Caenorhabditis elegans: one gene and its partners. The protein of the gene in region 3 interacts with the protein of the main gene of each other region in a pairwise test. Each region holds a gene or a part of one and is shown on either strand. Other genes may lie near its edges. The genes, in order: idpb-2, phat-1 and Y39B6A.1.

Region 1 (3,151 bases), on a different chromosome or scaffold from region 3:
TCAAAGTTCGCAAGAGTCTTCTCATGGCTCAGATTTGTTTATCGGACAAACCAGATTTCACTTCCAAAGTGGAGAACAACAATCAACAATCAGAAAAGGTAACTGATAGGTTTTGATATGAGCTATTCTATATATGAATATTAATCTAATTTTCCTGACAGTTCTAAGATATTGTATATCCCCTATTAGTATTGTATGTAATACTTTTTCCATCGATTACTCTGAGTTTAGCTCTTGTAAATATTTCAATTTAATAAGATATATTATATTTAAATATTAGACTCACAAACATTTATTGAAATTGAAAACTTTCAACAAAAGACTACAAACTTACAGTAATCCCAATAGTCAATTGTTTTACACATATTTTATCAGTGTATGTTCATGAAAAATATATTGAAGGTCTACACAAAAGCTCAACGGTCATCTGTCAGGTTTCCAACATACGATGGATTGCTCCCCGCTGGCGGAACAGTAAGCGGAAGCTTATCTCTCTTTCTCCTGTTCTATCATTTTTTGGTATATTCTTCTGTTAGCAATTACTTTGAGAACCTTTTTTTCAATTGTATCTATCATGTTCTTTTCCTGAACACCATCAGTTCCTTCATATTTCAGTACATTTGCGATGAATGCAACAGCGACGAGCGGACCCCATTTCAGCTTTGTGAGCACAAGGCAATTTATCACAGGTTTGCCTATTTTTGAAGAATTTAATTTGTTAGCTATAACTTTTGTGTTTATAAATGTATACTCTGGCGTTTCAGTCCCCAAGACCAGAGGGTTTGGAAATGTGTGTACTGTCACACACAATTTGGAAGGCGAGGTGGACTTCGGAGGCATGTTCAGATGGTTCATATGCAGATGATGCATAAATGTCCCGTAGAGAATTGCACTCATCCAGGATACAAGTGCACAAAGGTGGTCATTTCAATCTTTTTATTGAAGGCAGGACCACGCGCTCGAATTTAAAATTTAAAAAAATTAGATTTATGGAGTACTGTAGTCCACATTTCTTCATTGTTGTTTCAATGTTTTCCGTTCGTTTACATAGGAGCTACAGTACTCCGTCATCCATCGGACGTGTCGAGACGAGATTTTGTATCAGTGGTAAAAACCTTTCAAAAAACGTAGCAAGATTCAAAGGAACCTTTGAACTCTTTTAACTTGAAGATGCAGCTCTAGATTGCCACTAGATTACCAAACGTTATAAATGTTTGAGAATTATTGGTTTCATTAATATTGATTTTTCAAGCCAAAAACACCCTTCAAGTCTATTCAAGTCTATGCTCTTTCAGGCTCTGAATGCTCATGTCAGAACTCATACTCGACCATATGCCTGCCATCGGTGTGATGCTAGCTTTGCACGAAAAAACGATCTACAGAGTCATCTATCAACTCATCAAGCTACTCCAGTCATTCATTAATTTATTATATTATCTCAATTTTCCGTTTCTCTATCTATCTTATTACGATTACCTCTTCTTTTTTTCTGTGATTGTACCATAAACCTCAAAGTCCAACGCGATTTCTCGAGGGTATACGGAAGGGTTGAGTTTTGCTTCCGGAAAAGTGTCAAATGCACTACGCACCGCGCAACCGCAGGCATACTTACGTAAATATTTGAGTGATATAAAAGAAAGCATGAATGGTTCAATGATACACTCGAACTTAACATGAACAAGCTCGTCTGCTCCACCTTCGCCATTCTGGCAATAATCGCAATTTCTCAGGTATCAACGTTTCAGGGGACTTGTGTAGAATTCGAAGATCCTTGCAGGTTCAATCAGCAGTACTACCAGTGTCCTCAAAAGAAGTAGCATTAATAACATCATCTGCTTCAACCACTTCATCATCTGAAACATCAATTGATACATTAGGATCATCCAGAGTTAAAAGACAAGGAGGATGTGGTTGCTGTGGATGCGGATGCGGATGCTGCGGATGTGGTGGAGGAGGTGGAGGAGGATGCGGATGTTGCTGTTGTAGACCAAAGTAAGTTCAGAATTCGACACTTCTACTTTTTTAATTGATAATTCCAGAAATGTTACATTCACTATTTGAAAGATCTTTAATCCTTTAAATCTCAAAGTTTTAAACTTTGTCGTTACGTTTTCAGACTCGTCTGCATCTTCAGCATTTTCAGAATGATGTAGCAAATTTTAGTTCAAATTTTAGTGTAGCAACATCTTTCTTAAAAGAACAGTATCTTTTAGGCACATCTGCCGTTGTAATTTAAAATTTAAAATTTTCAGATGCTGCTGCTGTTGCCGCCGTTGCTGTACATGTTGCCGTACTTGCTGTTGTACAAGATGTTGTACTTGCTGCCGTCCATGTTGTTGTGGATGTGGATGTGGATGTGGATGTTGTGGATGCGGAGGTGGAGGACGTAAACGTCGTTCTCTTCAGAATCTCCGTATTGCTTTGGCTAACAAAATCGAAGGAATCGCCAAAGTCGTGAAGGGATCCGCTGTAGAAGCTTCAGTTATGAACGCATTGGCTCCTGTCAATGATGCTACGGTTGAAGAGAAGAAAGACGTGATCAACTGAGCGATGCGTTTGTTAAACTAATTTAATTAATTTAATTTGAATTCTGTGATTCTCACTTCAGAGAAATAAATAGTTGATTCTCTCTTGATTAACGCAAATACCAAAAAAATGTTATATACATAGAATTAGATAAAAAACGAGTAGAGACAAAGTTCAACAACGTTGTTGTCCATACAAAGCCTTGGAATTTACCGGCCCCCAAAGTATGCCTGGTTTGAGAAACGCTGAAAAATCCTCAGAATTAGATCAGAAAACTCATCAGAAATTGTTGCTTGTAGTAGTGAAATTTTCTTGATTGATCTGAGAAGCTTAAACTTGTTACTAACTTTTCAATAACTCGTCTCATTCTAGAGAACCTGAAAGTAACCGGGAGCTTGTGTGGTAAAATTATTCTACATTGGAAGAAATGGCATATTTCCCTTTTCCCCTATTTTACATTAGGTTTCTATTTTCAATTTCGGTTCAAGAATCATCAATTTTTAATTCCTAGTCCCATTTAGAAATAATGTCGCAACACTCATTCTTCATTCCCAGAGTCTCGCCCATTTCTTTCCCATTGAAACACTAGCTTCTGGTTACCATGACAACTCCATCCTTGTGCTCC
Region 2 (3,757 bases), on a different chromosome or scaffold from region 3:
CTTCAAATTTGAACACTTCCAAAAGTTTTTCTGGGAAATTTACTCTCAAATTAAAGCCAGCAGAAGGGCGCAATTTTAGATTTTTAGATTTTTGAAACTTTTGACCAATCAATGACGTTGACCACGCCTTAATGTCATTGGTCGAGTAACACTTTTTTCGCGCTCAAATTCGATTCTTTAATCCAAACATTTTTTCAGCATGCGATGTTGGTTTGCCTTGTGAAACTGGATCTACTTGTGATCTTACTCTTTTAAGTTGCTGTCTCAATGCGGATCTCAGTAAGTCTCTGGAATCAGTAAATTTTAAATTTCCCTTTTCAGTCACCACTGTGGTTCCATCTAACGTTGTCACCGACGCTTCGGGATCCACTGTGACTGTTGCCACGACTATCCGTAGTGGATCCACTGTCACTTCCCGCACTTCATCTGGAACAGGATGCGTTGATCGTGTCAATTCAGCTACAGGAACTTCTGATTGTGCTAATAGAAGAGCTCTCTGCAACGATGCCAACTACTTTGACGTCATGACTCAACAATGTCCAAAGACTTGCGGAAGATGCTCATCATTCTCTAGCACACCTACAACTGGTACATGCACTGACTTGAAGAACCCAAAGACGGGAACTTCGGACTGCGCAAGCCTGCGTTCTTTCTGTAATGATTCCAACTACATTGATCTGATGAGAACTCAATGCCCAAGAACTTGTGGATTCTGTGGAAGTTCCGGTTCATCTTCTACCACTAGATCCAGCGCAACTGTTTCTTCCGGAAGTAAGTGGGAAAAATTATAAAAGTGTTAAAACTGATTTTAACGGTTGGAGCTTGATTTAGTATTAAATTTAAGCAAAATTTAGTTGTACAAATATTTTCATATTAATTGCAACATGGCCAAATATCACAAATAAAAAGTCCGAGTTTTTAATGACTCAAAACTACCAGCCAACCTTTCCCCAACTTTAGACGAAACTAACTACTTGTTTATTTAAAAAAAGAGAAAACAACTGTCCAAAAAAATCTGAAACATCCGATTCTAAGGTAAAACAATCTACTGTATTATCTAAAAAATGTACGGCCATAGATTTTCAACAATAACACAAGCATTCGTTACTTTCTAAAACCAATCTTGAAAATCTTCCAGCATGTGTCGACAGAGTCAACCCAGCCACCGGAAGATCTGATTGTGCATCCAACATTGGTCTTTGCAACAACTCAGCCTACCAATCCGTCATGCGTGCTCAATGTCCAAGAACCTGCGGATTCTGTACATCCGGATAATTTGTTTCGCCATCACGATTAGTAATAATTGTGTAATAATGTGTCCAATTCATTTTAATTTATAATAAAACGCTGCGAGTCGGGAAGAAATGTGTTCAAATAGTATCCGAAACGCCGGTTGGTTGTACCAATATAAAAACAATGCGCGCATTGTTCTGCGAAAATTTTGTTATTTTTGAAACAGAGCTGAAATGTTTGAACAGCCTTTAGCTCGTGGATAGCCACTGTAAAATATGGAATATTGCGATAAAAACAGATAGACAAGAAATAAAACTTTAAAAAACTTTTACTTGAAAAACTTACAAAGAAACGTTACTTACAGACTCTTTTTGAAAATCCAATTTTTCTACTAGATTATCTCAAAAAGTTAAGCTCAACTCCTACAATCTAAAGTTGTATTCTGGGGTTTTTGCAAGCTTGTAAAACTGTCATAATAGCCGTTATTTGCATAATTATTTTGACGGCATTTTCAGCAAAAAATCGATCACTGCAGACCCGAGATACACATTCTACGTCAAAATATATGTAATTTAAATTTAATAATTTCAGCACTCTTTTGTTGAAACATTTGCCACAAGCGATACTTTTTAGCTATTTCGTCATAAACTTCCATCACGAACGGTATCTAAACTTCTTGATCACATTATTTCAATTTCAAAGACTTATAGCACAATGGTCAACGTTAATTGTTTGAACAGATGGACAGTATCTCACAATATAAAAGCAACTGCTGCAGAACTATAACCATCATTCTATCATGTTCCGTCAATTCATTATTTCATTTGCCATATTCTCGGTTGCATTTGCTTGTGAAGCTTCTGAATCTGAAGGACGTAAGTAACAACTGTAATCGCATTTAGAATAAATACTTTATTTCAGCGTGTGACGGTGGCATTCTTGTGTGCCAGACACAGGTCTGTGACGTGGCAGCTGGTCAATGCTGTCCTATTACCAGTAAGTGAAACAGATTCTTTCAACAGCGACCTTTGAAATTCTAGCTGCTGCCGCTGTTACTTCAACCACTGCTGCTGTTGTGACCGATTCCGATGGATCTACAGTAACCACAACTGCATCATCAGTTACAGTAACTTCTACCTCCACGACAACGTGTGCTGATCGTGTCAATCCATCTACCGGAGTCTCTGATTGTTCAGCTCTTGCCTACCTTTGCAACGACTCGACCTACTACACAGTCATGACCCAGCAGTGCCCAAGAACATGCGGTCGCTGTAATTCTACTTCAACAAGCTCTACTAGCTGTGTTGATCGTGTTAATCCATCCACCGGAGTTTCCGATTGTCCAGCTCGTGCTGCTTTGTGCAACGACTCCAACTACTACACACTCATGACCACTCAATGCCCAAGAACTTGCGGAAGATGCTCCACTTCTTCTTCGACTACTTCATCGTCCAGTAAGTTCGCTGAAAACTGGAACGTGATTCTTTAATTAGAGTTAGATTTCTTGAAACAGAGGACAACAATTTAAATTTCCAGGCACCACATGTGCCGATCGTTCTAACCCATCCACCGGGAGATCTGATTGTCCGGCTCGTGCCGCACTTTGTAATAACGCAGCTTATTACAATCTTATGACAGTCCAGTGTCCGGTAACTTGTGGAAGATGCTCCACAAATAGTACTTCTAGCTATTCCAGTAGGTGGCAGTTGCCTCTTGCTTCGCTGATCAGCTGTAGCTTTTTTTACCTGCTTCTGTCTAATATGCTTGCTTTGTTTGCCTTAGCTTTTCTTATATTTTCGTTTGCACTAACTGAGGAAATTTCAGCCACCTGTGCTGATCGTGTCAATCCAACAACTGGAGTTTCCGATTGCCCAGCTCGTGCTTCTCTTTGCAACAACTCAGTCTACTATGACATCATGACCACCCAATGCCCAAGAACTTGTGGAAGATGCACATCAAGCTCAACTATCTCTGCCACGTCATCAGCTTCTACTACTGTTTCATGTAAGTTTTATTTCTGAAGAATTATAGCTGATTGATTCTACTGTTTGTGATACGACAACTAAGATACTTAAACCTCTTCAGCCACTTGTGTCGACCAAGTCAACGCCGCTACAGGAACTTCCGATTGTCCAAATCGTCGTGCTTTTTGTACCAACTCCGCTTACATTTCCCTTATGCGTACCCAATGTCCACTTACCTGCGGATTCTGTACTGCTGGATAATTTTTGTGTTTGTGGAAATAATTTATCTCTAATTTATGCACCGTCTGGTTTTTGTGATTTATGATTCTAAAGTAAATAAAATAATTTAAATAATTTAGATTTTGAGAAAGTTCGATTTCAAAACAAAACATCTCAATGTTTTAAATGTAATAAAATATTTATTTTTTCATTTTCAAACATTCTGAAAACATATCCAATTTTTATTTTGTTTCATTGAATTAATAATTAAAACTTTTTTGGACAACTTTAAATGAATCTGGCGTCAATAATTTTTCGTTGAGTTTCACCTTATAATGATT
Region 3 (3,757 bases):
GTCCCATGTTCCCCGTGGTGTCCATGGTGTGCTGGAGCATGGTGGTGCTCTCCATGATGTCCGTGGTGGGTCCCATGTTCCCCGTGGTGTCCGTGGTGTGCTGGAGCATGGTGGTGCTCCCCATGATGTCCGTGGTGAGCTGGGGAGTGATGGGATCCGTGGTGTCCGTGGTGGGTCCCATGTTCCCCGTGGTGTCCATGGTGTGCTGGAGCATGGTGGTGCTCTCCATGATGTCCGTGATGAGCTGGAGCATGGTGGTGCTCCCCATGATGTCCGTGGTGGGCTGGGGAGTGATGTCCGTGTCCATGGGATTCGTGGTGTCCATGATGAGCTGGAGCATGGTGGTGCTCTCCATGGTGTCCGTGGTGGGTCCCATGTTCCCCGTGATGAGCTGGGGAGTGGTGGGTCCCATGGTGCTCTCCATGATGTCTGTGGTGGACTCCGTGCTCGTCGTGATGAGCTGCGTGCTCATGGTGCTCTCCTTCCTTGTGCTCGTGATGAGCTCCATCCTTGTGCTCGTGGTGCTCATGATGGGCTGGAGCGTGCTTCTTCTCGTCCTCAGATTCTGAGGAAGATGAGGAGCTGGAGCTGGAGCTGGAGGAAGAGCTAGAGCTAGAAGAGCTCGCGGCCTTCTTGTGATGCTTCTTTCCGTGGCTCTTCTTGTGATGCACCTTCTTCTTCTTCTTCTCGTCTTCAGATTCCGAGGAAGAAGACGATGAAGAAGAACTGGAAGAGGAAGAGGAGCTGCTGGAAGAGCTGGAGCTGGAAGCGGCCTTCTTGTGATGCTTCACGTGCTTCTTGGCGGCGTGCTTCTTGTGATGGTGCTTCTCATCCTCGGATGAGGAAGAGGAGCTGGAGGAGCTCGAGCTCGAGCTGCTGGACGAGCTAGACTCGGCCTTCTTGTGATGCTTCTTCACGGCATGCTTCTTGTGGTGATGCTTCTCGTCTTCGGACTCCGACGACGAAGAAGACGAGCTGGAGGAGCTGGAGCTAGAGGAGCTTGACGATGAGCTGCTGGAAGAGCTCTCAGCCTTCTTGTGATGCTTCTTCAGATGCTTCTTGGCATGCTTCTTATGGTGATGCTTCTCGTCTTCGGACTCAGATGAGGAGCTGGAAGAGGAGCTTGAGCTGGAGCTCGAGGAGCTGGATGAGCTGGAAGAGCTAGACTCGGCCTTCTTGTGATGCTTCTTAAGATGCTTCTTGGCGTGCTTCTTGTGGTGGTGCTTCTCGTCCTCGGATTCAGACGAAGAGGAAGAGGATGAGGATGAGCTGGAGGAGCTGGAGCTCGAGCTGCTGCTGGAGGAGGAGCTGGAGCTGCTCGAGTCCTGAGCCTTCACATGGTGATGGTGGTGGTGGACCTCGTGGTGGCCTGGATGGGCTCCGTGAGCATGATGGGTATGGTGACCGTGGTGTGGGGAGATGAAGCTCAGGAATCCTGAAATATTCCTGTTTATTAAGAGATTCCAAAGCTCCGGACCAACCTTTCAATGAGATGTGTCCATCATGAGCATGATGATCAAAGACCTTCTGGAAGTGGAGCTCCTTGGCCAGGTGCTCAATATCGTGGAGCGCCGAGCGAGCTTCATCCCGAGTGAGCTTATGCCCGTGCGAGGAGTGCTTCGAGAAGAGCTTCTCTGAAAATTATCATGATCTTTGACTACCGTAGGTGATACTAAGAAACTACAACTGATAACATGTCAGTTGTGTTGTGTTGGCAAACATTTCCGAAATTTTCTAATTTTTTCGGTAATTTCACTGATAAGAATGATCTTTGGCAGGAAGCGCCGAAAACTCACTGATCTTGTGAAGCGACACGTGGTGGGTGTGATGATGATGGTGCACCGTCATTGTTTAGGTTCTGGAATTTTCAGAATTTTCAGAATTTTACTCGAAATTCAAAGTTAAGAGGGATTTTAGAAGTAAAATCGAGAAAAAGCCCCGAAAATTTTGATAATCACCGTCCTCCTCCGCCCCATTTTATAAGCTTTTTTTAGGCTCCGCCTCCCTTAAGTTTGACTCCGCCCATTTTGACACGGGAGGCAATTAAAAGTTTTGATGATGTTTGGAGAAGTGAGAGATCGAGATAAGACACCCGGAGAAGGAGAAACGTGAAAATTTGGGACGATGATTGTCAGAGTGATGTAATATTTGGGGAGGTAATAGGAGAGGTGATGAAGTCTGACAGCTGTTGAGCATCAGCATTTGATTAATTTTCAAAATTTTCAAATTTTCAGCTGATTGTATTATAGTAGTTCACTGAAGGGTTTTGTGTGAGAAGTTGGAGGTTTTTGTGATTTTTCGGGTCTCGGTAGGTTCTAGCATACCGAAAAAGAGCCTGACCTTTGGACACTGACCTTTTCTGGAACGTTTAACTGCTTCCAATAAGCTTCAAGTGGCTCCGAGCAGCCTGATTGCTAAAATTTTCTAATTGTTTCAGTTAGATCATAGACATTTCTAGCGGCTTCCAACTAGTCCTAGACCCTTCCAAGTACTTCTAGAAGCTACCAGCCTGACCTAGGAGTTCAAAGCCTGGCCTAGGCGCCCAGCAAGCTTTCTGAAGGCTTCAATTTGCTTTTAGTAAGCCTTGTGATCGTCTAGCAGATCTAAAGTGCCTTCACGAGCTCTTAGTGATTCCGAAAAGCCCGACTGCTGAAATCTTCCAATTGCCTCCAACAGCTCATAAATGTCTCTAGAAGCTTCCAGCCTGACCTAGGAGTTCAAGCAAGCTTTCTAAAGGATTTAATTTGCTTCTACTGAGCCCTGTACTATTCTAATAGGCCTCAAGTCCTTTGTGAGTTCCCAGTGGCTCCTAGCAGATTTTAGCAGCTCCGACGAGCACGGCTTCTAGCAGCTCCCTATTGGTCCGATAAGCTTCTATGGGCCTCTAGAAGCTCCCAACTGGCTTTAGCTGCCCTCAAGAGCTCTGAGCAGCACTGGGTTGCTTCAAGGTGTTAGATTCCTGGTTTTCCAGATTTTAACCAAATTCAGCAGCTCTGATTGGGCTTTCGGAGCTTTCAGCACCCGCCGACCTTTCCCAACTGCCCCTAAAAACTCCAAACTGTGTTTTCTGAAGAGCCACACCCAAAACTGCTATTTTATGAGCCTGTGGCATTTCCAAAGATGATGGCAAACTTTTAATGGTGCTCTTAACACCTTTTTTTTGTTGGAAATTCGAAATACTAGTTTTCTAGTTTTCCAAATATCATGTGATCATTCAATCTTGCAATGGTGGTTATAATTCATTATTTGCACCAACAATTAATACTCCTTATCTCTATAATGTTCTTAATTTGCTGCAATTGAACTGGTTTTTGAAGTACCAACTACACTTTTTGAAGGTTTCCGGTGGAAAATTCAGGAGTTTGAGCAATTTTGTCAGAAATTTCCGTTTCCTGACAATCTTCTGGCTTCAAAATTCGAGTTTTTGACTTTTTCTCAAAAAAAACCGGGAAAATTAGGAGAAAAAGCTTCAAATCTGGATAGTTTTTCCGGAAAAACATCGAAAATCGATGTTTCCTCAATTTTCCTGAAACTTTGATATTTTTTGGGCCTTTGACTTGAAATTTCAAGCATTTCACAGCATACTGTCGTGGAATTCATACAGGCAGCCTAATTTTTAAGATCCTTGACTTTTTTCCAGTTCCTGTACATTTTCAGCATTCGGGAGCAATTTCCGCCCCACGTTCCGAAACCAAAAACCGCAAAACTATTCGAAAAATGTGCCATCAGCAGGTTTTTCTCTCTCCATAATTGATTA

The links.
Region 1: the proteins of Y39B6A.1 (region 3) and idpb-2 interact in a two-hybrid assay, tested with the Caenorhabditis elegans proteins (one large-scale study listed by BioGRID).
Region 2: the proteins of Y39B6A.1 (region 3) and phat-1 interact in a two-hybrid assay, tested with the Caenorhabditis elegans proteins (one large-scale study listed by BioGRID).

The regions. Positions count from the first base shown.
Region 1 is NC_003280.10:5,068,131-5,071,281, reverse strand, and holds idpb-2 (Intrinsically Disordered Protein, class B), read left to right. Parts: upstream 1-1,656; 5' UTR 1,657-1,673; coding exon 1,674-1,730; exon of another isoform or gene 1,731-1,777; coding exon 1,778-1,992; intron 1,993-2,252; coding exon 2,253-2,547; 3' UTR 2,548-2,634; downstream 2,635-3,151. Other genes in the region: C27A2.7 (C2H2-type domain-containing protein), read left to right, coding at 1-98, 403-474, 616-689, 765-918, 1,296-1,424.
Region 2 is NC_003279.8:5,043,996-5,047,752, reverse strand, and holds phat-1 (ShKT domain-containing protein), read left to right. Parts: upstream 1-2,032; coding exon 2,033-2,108; intron 2,109-2,154; coding exon 2,155-2,229; intron 2,230-2,273; coding exon 2,274-2,687; intron 2,688-2,869; exon of another isoform or gene 2,870-3,013; intron 3,014-3,057; coding exon 3,058-3,237; intron 3,238-3,318; coding exon 3,319-3,458; 3' UTR 3,459-3,555; downstream 3,556-3,757. Other genes in the region: phat-2 (ShKT domain-containing protein), read left to right, coding at 199-279, 322-771, 1,139-1,275.
Region 3 is NC_003283.11:19,201,750-19,205,506, forward strand, and holds the start of Y39B6A.1 (Histidine-rich glycoprotein-like), read right to left. Parts: upstream 1,859-3,757; 5' UTR 1,849-1,858; coding exon 1,797-1,848; intron 1,635-1,796; coding exon 1,482-1,634; intron 1,436-1,481; coding exon 1-1,435.